3 linked regions of the Elephas maximus indicus genome follow. The protein of the gene in region 2 purifies or fractionates together with the protein of the main gene of each other region. This does not show direct contact. Links are inferred from orthologs where the notes say so. Each region holds a gene or a part of one and is shown on either strand. Other genes may lie near its edges.

Region 1 (3,746 bases), on a different chromosome or scaffold from region 2:
ATCCCCTGACTCCCAAGCTTGTGTTTTCCACTAATTGTGCTCCCTTCTACTCATCGGAGAGCATCAAATGTAAAGCTTTGGAGAAGGGAGTGGACACAAATGAGCAAAGTCCACCAGGTGGAGACTGCGCTGAAGGTCCTACGGCATCACCTTTTGGCACTTTCCTTTTCTCTTGGCTGTGGAGATGAAAGCAGCAGCAACCACAAACCCCTGGGACCAAGAACTGGAACTAGGTACTGCCTACTGTGGTAACTCTCTTCCTCATTTTAGGCCTTTCTTTTTTCACCTTTCCCTTCCGACCAGGCCCTAACGATCTCTTCACCTCACTCCATTTCTATGTACCCTTCCTGCGGCCCCCTTCTTTGCACATTAGTGCTAGGTGTCCCATGTAATAAGATGTAGCTGCGCGGCGTCCGCCAGTCCTGCGGAGAGGTTGTAGGGGAACCTAGAGCCACACGCATTTTCTCCAGAAAATGAGTGGTAGCAAAGCATGATGTAAGTATGTTTCAACTGGTAGAAACTTAAGAGGTGGGAACGTAGGCATACACCAAGTCTGTTCTACTTGGGGCTATGTAGCTCACCACGACAAAGCAAAATTTCGACAATAAGAAGCAGAGTCTTTTCGTCTAGCTAGAGGATTCTAACAGGTCAACCATCCCCTGGCAACCTCCCACGGGAGGACGCTTTCCGGAGCGCCGATGTTTACGCTTTTCCTAGAACCGGTGGAGACTGACGTTCCCAGACCCTCGGGGCTTCTAAACCGTTACTCCGCCGCCGGGGTGGGGCCAGCCCAACGGCCAAGCCTGCGCAATAGGCCTGGCTGACTCCGGGGTCCTGCGCACTACAAGTCCCAGAAGGCAACGCTCCGAGGGGGCGGGAGGCCGCCTTACCTGCCGTGAATTCTTTCGGCTAGTACCGCTCTCCCCCTCCCGTGTTGCCATGGGTCTCCTTTCCACAGTTAAAGGCTACTTTCTCTTGAGGCCTATGAGGAACTGCCTTAGCAACTTCGACACTGAAGCTCTTCGCGTACTCGCTCGTTCTCCCTTCTGCCCAAACTATGCTGGGGAGGCGACAAAAGATAGCCCTTGGAAGCCAAAGCTAGGAGACTGGTTGCACTTCCGCCTTCCGGACTCCGGGGATAGCGCGCACGCGCCCCATGCGACTCCGGTGCAGTTGACTTCCGCTCCCACTGTGCCCTGCGAGCCGAATCATGGATCACACTGGTAAGGAGGCGGAGGCAGTGGGGGTCCCGGTTCCATGCCCCCTTGGCCGGTCTGGGATCAGTCGCCTAGCGGGCATAGAGGGCTTACGTTCGCCCCAAAGCACTGGGGTGTGGTGGTGAGAAAGAAATATCACAGATCTCTCTCCGTGCCCGGCCGGGGCCTGCTGCTTCCCGGCCTACTCTCCGGTGCAGTAGCTACAGCCTCAGTACCGGCAAAAGCCGCTTTTCCTCTGGCACTGCTGGGCTCCGACTCGGGACGGCGGGCTGCGCGGGCCTCGGGGGGAGGGGAGAGCGCTGGTTTTTTTTTTTCCCCTCATCCCGGGTGCTCTGAGCTGCGTTTGCGGACTGGCGGATAGATTCCAATTTTTAAGTGGAGGAAGCCTCTCTGCGCTCTCCGCTTCGGCTGGGAGTGGTTGGGCGAGAGTAGGTTGGAGACTTCCTGCCGTCTCAGTCGGCTTTGGGCGGGTGCTCCTGTCGTTATTGTCTCTCTCGTCCTTCGTGGGCTAGAGTTGGAGAAAGGAGTCGGATATAGTTTTCGTAATCATACTCGGAGCAGCTTCTACCTCTAAACCTAAAGCATGCCCCACGCTTTGGCTGTGGTCCTTATTCGTCATTTCGGACCATTTCCTAAGGAAAGCTTAAAATCAAGGAGTTCTCATCTCTTTCTCCAAGTAAGACTGGCTCCATTACTTTTTTATGTGTGGGGTTTTTTTTTTTTTTTTGGCTTTTGTTTCCATTGGTTCGTGAATGTTAAAATAAAGCGCACTCGAAGTTAGGAAGCGCTCCATGCAGTTATGTTAATCGTGTCACAGGTAGGGAAAAATACATTTTCCGGTCTAGGTATTAATTGGGATGTGTGTTCTCAATCATGAAATATTTGTGTGTGTTGTGTGTGTGTGTTTATTTCTAAGCCTCGGGTTGGAATGTTAAAACAAGGCTGAGTTCCTGCCATCACCTTGATTACATTCTATTGGGGGAAATAGTAAACAGACTTTCTAAAAAAAACTTAAAATATTTACAGATTATGAAGGTATTTTGAAGAAAGTAAACAGGTACTGTGTTAGAGATAAATGGGAGGAAACTTTAGAGAGGACGGTCAGGGAAGGTCTTTGTTGGAAAGGTAATATTTAAGTTGAGATTTGATAGATGAGAAGAATCCAACCATGAAGTAAGCAGAATGAAGAGTATTTCCATCAAGTAAGTACAAAGGCTCTGAGATTAGGAAAACTTAGAGAAGGCCAATTGGCTGAAGCCTACTTAACAAGAGGTAAATTTAAAGAGCCTTAAGATGAAGTTGGAGAGGAAGTCAGATGGTGTAGGACCTTAAAGGCAATGATAAAGATTTGAATTTTAAGTGCACTGTGAAGCTATTGGAAACCCTAGTGGTGTAGTGGTTAAGAGCTAAGGCTGCTAACCAAAAGGTCGGCAGTTCAAATCCATCAGGAGCTCATTCGAAACTCCATGGGGCAGTTCTTTTCTTTCCGTAGGGTCGCTATGAGTTGGAATTGACTCGACAGCAATGGGTTTCTGAAGCTATTGAACAGGTAGAGGAGGAATCTGATCTTGTTAAAAAATGTAATAGGCTGTTCTAGGAAGAAAGAGTTAACAGTGGGAGGCAAGGGTAGTAAAAAAACGATTTAGGAGATTACAGTAGACCAAAAGAGATGATGGCTTGGCTTAGCGAGGATGAATGGAAGTAGGTCTAGTCGATAAGTATTTTGGTGATGGAACTCAATGACATGCTCATAGATTGGTTTGGAGGTATATGAGAAAAAGGAGAAATGCCTAGGTTTCTGGTTTGAGCAGCTGGGTAGATGGTAGTGTCCATTATTGAGTTGGGGAAAACATGAGAGAAAAGTAGACGTTTTTTAGGGATAGAGGTGGGGAATGGAAATTTAGGAACAAGAGTTTGGTTTCATACTGCTAAAATTTGAGATGTGTATTGAAACATACAAGGGGAGATGTCACATAGGCAATCGGAGACCAGCGGAAAGATACGGGCTGAAAATACATATTTGAGACTCAATACCTTATATTTTAAGGCATGGGGATGGATGTGATCACTAAAGGAGAGCTAATATAGAAGAGAGAGGGTTCCACAACCAGGCTCTAAGGAACTCCAGTCTTTGAACAGTTCACTGAGTTGAAATTCAAGGATCTGGGTGTTAGAGTAGCAAGCATTGAATATCAGCAAAATATTACTCATTTGAACCTTTGGAATTGGGAATCCAGTCCCTTCCACAATTCAGAGGATGCTATATTAGAAAATTGTAATATGAATGGGTGTGTATCTGAGCATAGTAAGTCATCTAGCATGGAAATCTTCCCTAATGAGCTGATTACTTAAACAATTAGTTGCTACTCAGGTATTTCTTCTGCTTAATACTAGCATCTATTCTTTTAGATAATTTCTTTGTGAGTCAGTTTTCTTGATGTTTCATATTAGGAGACAACATCAAATGCTGTTCTTTAATTGTTGGGAAAAATTACAAACCTTGCAAAACATACAGGCTTTTATGAAATG
Region 2 (3,746 bases):
ACATACCTAGACACATCCAAACACTCTGAGGGACCAAGTTGCTGGGGCTGGGGGCTGGGGACCACAGTCTCAGGGAACATCTAGATCAATTGACATAACGTAGTTCATCAAGAAAATGTTCTATAGCCCATTTTGGTGAGTAGCATCTGGGATCTTAAAAGCTTGCAAGTGGCCATCTGAGATACATCTATTGGTCCCATCCTGTGTGGAACAAAGGGGACTGAAGAAAACCAAAGATACAAGGAAAATACTAGCCCAAAGGATTAAAGGACCACAAGAACCAGACTCCACCAGCCTGAGCCCAGAAGAACTAGATGGTGGCTGGCTACCACCAGCAACCACTTTGACAGGGATCACGGAGGAAAATATAAAACAGAATTCAAATTCACCAAAAAAGACCAGACTTGCTGGTCTGACAGAGACTGGAGGAACCCCCGAGAATATGGCCCCAGACACTCCACTAACTCAGAACTCAAACCGCTCCCCGAGCACACTTTTCAGACAAAGATTAGACAGGCAGATAAATTAAAAAACAACACACTGTGAGGAACATGCTTCTTAGTTCAATCAAATATAGGAGACCAAATGGGCAACGCCTGCCCAAAAGCAGGACAAGAAGGTGGGAAGGGACAGGAGCTGGAAGAGCAGACACAGGGAAAACCGAGTGGAAAGGGGGAGCATGCCCTCACATTGTGGAGAATGCAACCAAAAAAGAAAAATAAATAAATAAAATGAACACGTATCTATTAAAATAAAAGTGGCTCTTCCGGCTTGCCCCACCTGCCCCAGCTCCCACTTTGGGAAACTGGGGTTAAGGCTGGGAACCAAGGACTGGTTCTTGTTAGGAGATCCTTGCCTTTTCAGCACCTCAGTTTCCTCATCTGTGCAACAGGGATAATCTCAGGACCACCCAGCCCAGGTTGTTTTCAGGATTAGATCCCAAAGTCGACCTCAGCCACTTAGTATGGCTCCTGGTAAGGAGTGAGCGCTCCATTAGGGTCGAGGTTATTATCATTATTAATAATTGCAGGAGAGGCAGATTTGGGGTAAACAGGGTTGGTGAGTGGCTTGGGGGAGTTAGGGAGGGTATTTTGGCCTGGGAGCAGATGGGATGGGGGCCTCGTGGGATGGGGCGCTTTCACGGGGCAGCGTGGGAGGCGGGGCCTCTGCTCCCCGTCCACGCCACCCCTGCCCTGCCCGGACCCCTGGCTTGGGCCGCGCACGGGTGTCTCCCAGGTCACCGGCAGGGAGTGTATCCCCGCGCGCTTCCTCCTTCCTCCTCCTCCCGGCGGCCTGCCGGGCCCCTCCTCCCCACTCGCGCGCTCCCTCCCTCCTCTTCCCCTCCCGGGGCCGCCGCCGCCTCCTCCTCCTCTTTCTCCTCCCTTTCTCTCTCGGTCTGTCTCTCCCGGCCCGGAATCCATTCCGGCCTGGGAGCCGGAGCGGCCAGGCCGCCGTCTGCCCGATACCCCTGCCGTCCGGCGGCCCGGGGGTCCGCCCTCCCGTGCGTCCGCCCGCCGGTGCGACCGTCTGCCGGCTGCCTCAGGTGAGAGCCCTCCGCCCCTCTGCGGGCCCCTAGTCCCGGCCGGCCTGAGAAAGCCCCCGCCTGGACCACCCCGGCGTCTGATCGCGGGGCCGCCGGGGCTCCTGCCCACCCCTGTCCCCCAGCCCCGGGCCGGGCCGCGATCCCGGAGCGCACGGAGGGCGCACCGGGACAAGCCCAGCGCGGCCTTTTGTTGTGATGCCGCGGAGGGAGGGGGCTGGGCGGGGGCGCTGGAGTCCTGGCCGTGCGGGGACCCCTCTCGTTGGCCCTTCCCCCGCGAACCCCCCGAGATGCAGGCGAGCCGGCCCGAGTCCCCAGGCCAGGTCTAGGCCAAATATGAAATCTGAGCCAGTCGGCGCCGCCTCTGGCCGCGACTACCCGGCCTGGCGCCCCTGGCCCGCGGTGGGGTGTGGGTGGGGGGGGGGGGCAGAAGGCCTGGAACGGGGGTTTGGGGGGCGCCAAGGAGGGAGCGCTAGGCCCAGGGCGCCAGGACCTCCTCGTCCTCGTGGGGCCTTAGGTCGGGCCTGGTGTCGCCGGCCTGGAATAAGGGGCTGGGCCAGGCTGGGCTTGGTCCCCGCTGCCCACAGCCCCCAGCGCTGCCCGCTCGGAAGTTGGCAAAAGTTTTGGGTGCCTACCTCCTGGCGGGTCCACCTGCCTGCCTGGGTGGGGGTGGGTTTGAGGCCAGGCTGGGGCTGCCACTCGCCCTGCTGTGTATCCTCAAGCAACTGCCTGTCCATTCTGAGCCCGGGACCTCATCAGTGGCAGATGGGCCTGAGTGGAATTGCTGGGCTGGTGGGAGAATGGATTGGAGTGAACAGAACTCAACTGTGGGGTATCAGTTCAGGGACTTGAGAGTGGGCACAGTGTGTGTGTGGCCCTGGGCAAGACTTCCTGGGCCTCAGGGATTCTGTCTATACAATAGGGGCAGTGGTCCCTGGGTCACCTGGGATGAGTCCAGGTCTAGCAACAATATAGCTGAGACCAGACCTGGCTTGAGGGTGGGCCTCGCTGGTCCTGTTGCTGACCCTCTTCTTGCCCCCTAGGGGGAGCACTGATTGGGAAGTCAGGACACCTGGGCTTCTTGTCTCCCTAAGTGACCTGGGCCAAGGGATTGCCCCTCTGAGTCACAGTATGAGGAATAGGGATGCTCAGGGGAAGATTCTATGCACCTCTGCCTGTAGGGGCTTGGCACGTAGTTGGTGCTCAATAAATGAGTGCTTTACAGAACGACTGCCTAAGAAATGAAGGTGGGAGGTAAGGTTGCTGGCCCAAGTGGGGCTCATCTCCTTGTGCCCAGAAGAGGGTGAATCTTCTGAAAAACCTACTCATAACCCCCTTGAGAAAGAAACAGCCCCAGCCCAGTCCTGCCACATAACAGCTGTGTGACCTTAAGCAACTCACGCTCCCTCTGGCCACAGTTTTGTCAACTTTAAAATGAGCCAATAATAATGGCAACTGAGTACCCTCTGTGAGCACTCACCCCTGTGAGGTAGAGTCTCTTTTTTTTCTCCAGTTTACTGATGGGGAAACAGACTCAGAGAGGGGAAATAATTGGCCAAGGCCATACGACTTGAAGCTGGAATTAGAACCCAGACCTCAGAGACCCAGTCTGGCTGCCGGGCACCCCTCCAGTGATGGGAGAGTGGAGGTTGCCCAGCATGGGGCCAGGCACAGAGCAGTGTTGGAAGACTATACTGATGAGTGATTGACTGGAAGCCACGAGGCCCTTTTGGGCCTGCATTGGTGATACTGTCTTTCCACCCAGAGAAATGATTTACAGTGTGTCACCTCTCTCAGCTGACTGCTTGCCTAGGTCCTCCTGTGTGAATCCTGGGCCTTTGCTCCTGAAGATGTCCCTGCCAGGAGTGCCATAAGCTGCTCATCTGCTCAGGCTCTTCAACGCTTAGCTTAAGGCCCACTTCTCCCAGCAAGGCCCCCTGGCTCTCTCCTCTTCCTCCTGGAGTAGGCATTATCCCCAGCACACAACCCAGAATCTTCTTTGGCTTGTTCCCTGATTGTGACCTGAGGGGGAGAGGGTCTGACTCCCACAAACCCCAGGGGTCAGGGTGGGGATAGCTCAGTGACCCACTGAGCTCTGCCCAGGGTGAGCACATGTAGCTGCTGGGAAAACCCCCCATCTCTTGGTCCCGAACCATGTATCATGGATGCTTGTTTGTCTAACCTTTTCACAAGAGTTGACCCTGTT
Region 3 (3,746 bases), on a different chromosome or scaffold from region 2:
ATCAAATTTACCCACTATAAGTGTTTATTAGAATTGCAAGATAAAATACAGAACTCCCAGTTAAATTTGAATTTTAGATAAACAGCAAATATGTTTTTAGTATAAGACTGTCCTGTGTAATATTTGGAAACCCTGGTGGCATAGTGGTTAAGTGCTACAGCTCCTAACCAAGAGGTTGGCAGTTCAAATCCTCCAGGCCCTCCTTGGAAACTCTATGGGGCAGTTCTACTCAGCCCTATAGAGCCGCTATGAGTCAGAGTTGACTCGACGGCAGTGGGTTTGGCTTTTTGGGTTTATGCAATATTTGGGAGATACTTACCCTAAAAAAATTTCTTGTTTATGGGACTTTCAGAATTAACTGGATGTCCTGTATTTTCATTTGCTAAATTTGTGAAGCCGATTTTTGGTAAATATATAGAGCTGTGCAACTATCACCATAATCCAGTTTTAGAACATTTCCATCACCCCAAAAGTTCCCCCTTGCCCACTTACATTCACCTCCTCCCACAGTTCCAGGCAACCACTGGTCTGCTTTCTCCTCATAGATTTGGGGATGGCTATACTCTGGGTTGGTGGGTTTTAAACTTGGAAGGCGTACAGCCAGAATGCTGCTTAGAAATAAGGACGGCGAGACTTCTTCTCATGTGCTTTGGACATACTATCAGGAGGAACCAGTCCCTGGAGAAGAACATCATGCTTGATAAAGAGAGGAGGACCCTTAATAAGATGGAGTGACACAGTGGCTGCAAAAATGGGCTCAAACATAGCAACAATTGTGAGGATGGCACAGGACCAGGCACTGTTTTGTTCTGTTGTACATAGTGTTGCTATGAGTGGGAACCAACTTGGTAGTATTTAAACACAAAACCAAAAAAAAAACCAAACCCAGTGCCGTCAAGTCGATTGCAACTCATAGCGACCCTATAGGACAGAGTAGAACTGCCCCATAGAGCTTCCAAGGAGTGCCTGGCGGATTTGAACTGCTGACCCTTTGGTTAGCAGCGGTAGCATTTAACCACTACACCACCAGGGTTTCCATTTAAAATAACAACAACAAATATCTTGAAGTGGAACTACTTGGCTTGTACACAGCTAGCTTAGTTAAAAATCTAAGTATTTGCCTGATGAGTTTAGTTTCACTTCTTAAAGTGTAACGCACGGGAGACTGGCTGCCCAACATGGGGTTTGTCTTTTGCCATCAGAGCAGCCTCTGGCTTGCAGGTATGTGGATTATTTTCATCTCATTGTGTTTACAGATCACATGGGGAACCAGCCCTGGGGAGGCTGAGAGCCTTCCGGCCTTCACTGAGGGGGGCGCCCTTTCTAGGTCCCTGGGCCAGGGCAGGACAGGAGGTTAGATGGGAAGTCAGGCGACCATGTTACCGCAAATCCCAGGTTGGAGCTGCCTGCCGCAAAGATCTATCAAGATGCGGGGGTGCTCGGGCCTGTCCGGGGGCCATGGCACAGCGCTGCGGAGTATGTCTCTAGGGCTTCTTTTAGGTGGCCACCCAGCGCCAGCACCTCACCATAGCGCAGCAGCAGCTCCTCGGCGCTCTAGCCGGCCGCCGCTGTCGCCGCCCACTGTCCACCTCCGGGGGGCCATTTTTCGGCTCCCTCCCGGGGTGCTTCTCACCAGCGCTGGAGAAGAAGACGAGGCCCGCGGAGGGCTGCTGCTCTGTCACCCCCGCCCTGCTCTCGGAGCCTCCGGGGCGCGCTGCTGGGCAGGGGGCGCGCTGCTGGGCAGGCGGCCCGCCATAAGCCGGAACCCACCTTTTTGTTTTAAGAGAGGAGGAACTGTATATGGGGTATTTACAGTCACTTTTTGGCCCAGTGTGAATTTTTCGGCTTCCTGGAGTAAGTCGTAGGTTGCAGCCGCTGCCCACAAACATGGTCACCATCCCCTAGCCACGGTGAGAAGTATGTCAGGGGGCGCCCGGCCGAGCCCAAAGTCTGAGTCAGAACTCTCATAGCAATCTCTTTCGCATGTGCAAACAGTTCAAAAGACTTTTGTAAATCAGGCATTCTCAAAGCTGGTGCTGTCATCAACTTATATTTAATATTTTAAAGACTTGTTAGCATTCTTTTAGTGCATACTAAAGGTTCTCTTTCTTCCCCTTTCAGGGCCTCATAAAAAGTCTTTGCCAAGACTCTAAACCCGAGGATCCAGATTTGACAAAACCCAGCCATTCTTAGGAATCCTCTTAGCTGTGGCCTTTGGGCTGTCACCCTCATGATTGCCTCACTTCAATCTGGGAGAAGGTCTTGCTGTCCTTGAGAAATCTGGAATCTCAGATATTTAACTTGTGGGAGAGAAATCTGTGCCTTTTTCTCGGATAACCCAATACTCGCACTCTGCCAAGTGATTTAAAAATAATACAGCATTTTGGTTAGAGTCTTCTTTAGTTTCACTAAAACCAAAAAACCAAACCCAGTGCCGGGGAGTCGTTTCCAACTCATAGCGACCCTAGAGAACAGAGTAGAACCGCCCCATAGAGTTTCCAAGGAGCGTCTGGCGGATTCGAACTGCCGACCCTTTGGTTAGCAGCTGTAGCACTTAACCGCTATGCCACCAGGGTTTCCTTAGTTTCACTAGCCACCAAAATTTCGTGAACATATTATAAAATCAGACCTTGATTTGGTTTTAAAAATCTTAAATCCCTTGTCAAAATTTTTCTAAATATAGTGGGAGAATTTCTAAATCCCTGGATGAGAACTTGTCATGTAAGATGTTGTTTCACCCAGTAGCTGTATCAGTCCATTCAAAAGCAAATAATTGTTGAGACTGAGGATGTAAGGGGATGTGAAAGAATGTGTCTTTTAGATCTAGCACTGAAAACCATTTATATTGGCTGGGTATGGTGACAAGGAGGGTGTAGGGATTTGGGACTACTGGATGTACATCTTCTACTATTTGGTTAATTTTCCTCAGATCTTGTATAAATCGGTATTCTTTTGTTCTTGGTTCTATACTGTTCTTTTCTTCACATTCTCTGTCTCTCACTCATTCTCTTCTTCTCTAGCCCCCATATCATTTTCTCATCCATTTTTTTTGTTGTTTGGTCTCTATTATTGAAGACCTTCAAGGCAACTAGCGTCTGTCTTCGTGGTCGCCCTTCAGTGTTTACTCTGGCTGGAACTTTTCTCAAGGGATATTGCCCTGCCTGGTTTTCAGGGCCTCCCTTACGGAAAACTGTACCCTGTCAGGTACAAGAAGGGGAAACCACACCTGAAGCCGTGTTTCCACCGTCTGTCTCTTCCGTGTCTCTCCCTTTTGTTCCCCACGATGGACACGTATTAGAGTCTAGTCCCAACTCTGGCGGGAAGAGTGTATTCTCTTCCTCCAACTCTGTCCTCTCCCAGCAGCGGCAGTAAGGAGGAGGAGGAGCCATAGCCGAAACCAGAGCCCATCCCTCCAGGAAAGGGTCCTTGCTGGAAGAATCAGGATGCACTTTCGGCTCCATTTCACCTTGAAAAAGAACTTGGTTAGAGGGGTTTATATTCTGATATAGTGATATAAAAGCTTGAACATAGGAGACTTCAGCTCATTTTTTTGTCTTTTAAAATTGAGCTGAAAAACCATACCAAAAATCAAGGAACCATACTGTGGCCGATGTTCCTGACTTTTTTTAGCTGCTATTTATGTCAAACATTATTGTATAAAAACATTATTACTATTATTATTATTTTTTTTAGTCATGAGTTCATAGCTCTACCTTTTCTAGTTTGTTAGGATGCACCCCAGGAGG

What was found.
Region 1: the proteins of SRC (region 2) and CBLL1 purify together in Homo sapiens (affinity purification with western blotting; 3 studies listed by BioGRID and IntAct, with this or other methods). This does not show direct contact. The link is inferred for Elephas maximus indicus from reciprocal best matches to the Homo sapiens genes SRC and CBLL1.
Region 3: the proteins of SRC (region 2) and PECAM1 purify together in Homo sapiens (affinity purification with western blotting; 3 studies listed by BioGRID and IntAct, with this or other methods). This does not show direct contact. The link is inferred for Elephas maximus indicus from reciprocal best matches to the Homo sapiens genes SRC and PECAM1.

What each region holds. Positions count from the first base shown.
Region 1 is NC_064826.1:41,895,393-41,899,138, reverse strand, and holds the start of CBLL1 (E3 ubiquitin-protein ligase Hakai), read left to right. Parts: upstream 1-900; 5' UTR 901-1,210; coding exon 1,211-1,223; intron 1,224-1,233; exon of another isoform or gene 1,234-1,893; intron 1,894-3,746. UniProt on the Homo sapiens protein: E3 ubiquitin-protein ligase that mediates ubiquitination of several tyrosine-phosphorylated Src substrates, including CDH1, CTTN and DOK1. Targets CDH1 for endocytosis and degradation.
Region 2 is NC_064843.1:32,209,995-32,213,740, reverse strand, and holds the start of SRC (proto-oncogene tyrosine-protein kinase Src), read left to right. Parts: upstream 1-1,168; 5' UTR 1,169-1,543; intron 1,544-3,746. UniProt on the Homo sapiens protein: Non-receptor protein tyrosine kinase which is activated following engagement of many different classes of cellular receptors including immune response receptors, integrins and other adhesion receptors, receptor protein tyrosine kinases, G protein-coupled receptors as well as cytokine receptors.
Region 3 is NC_064837.1:55,646,827-55,650,572, reverse strand, and holds the start of PECAM1 (platelet endothelial cell adhesion molecule), read left to right. Parts: upstream 1-1,134; 5' UTR 1,135-1,178; coding exon 1,179-1,221; intron 1,222-3,746. UniProt on the Homo sapiens protein: Cell adhesion molecule which is required for leukocyte transendothelial migration (TEM) under most inflammatory conditions.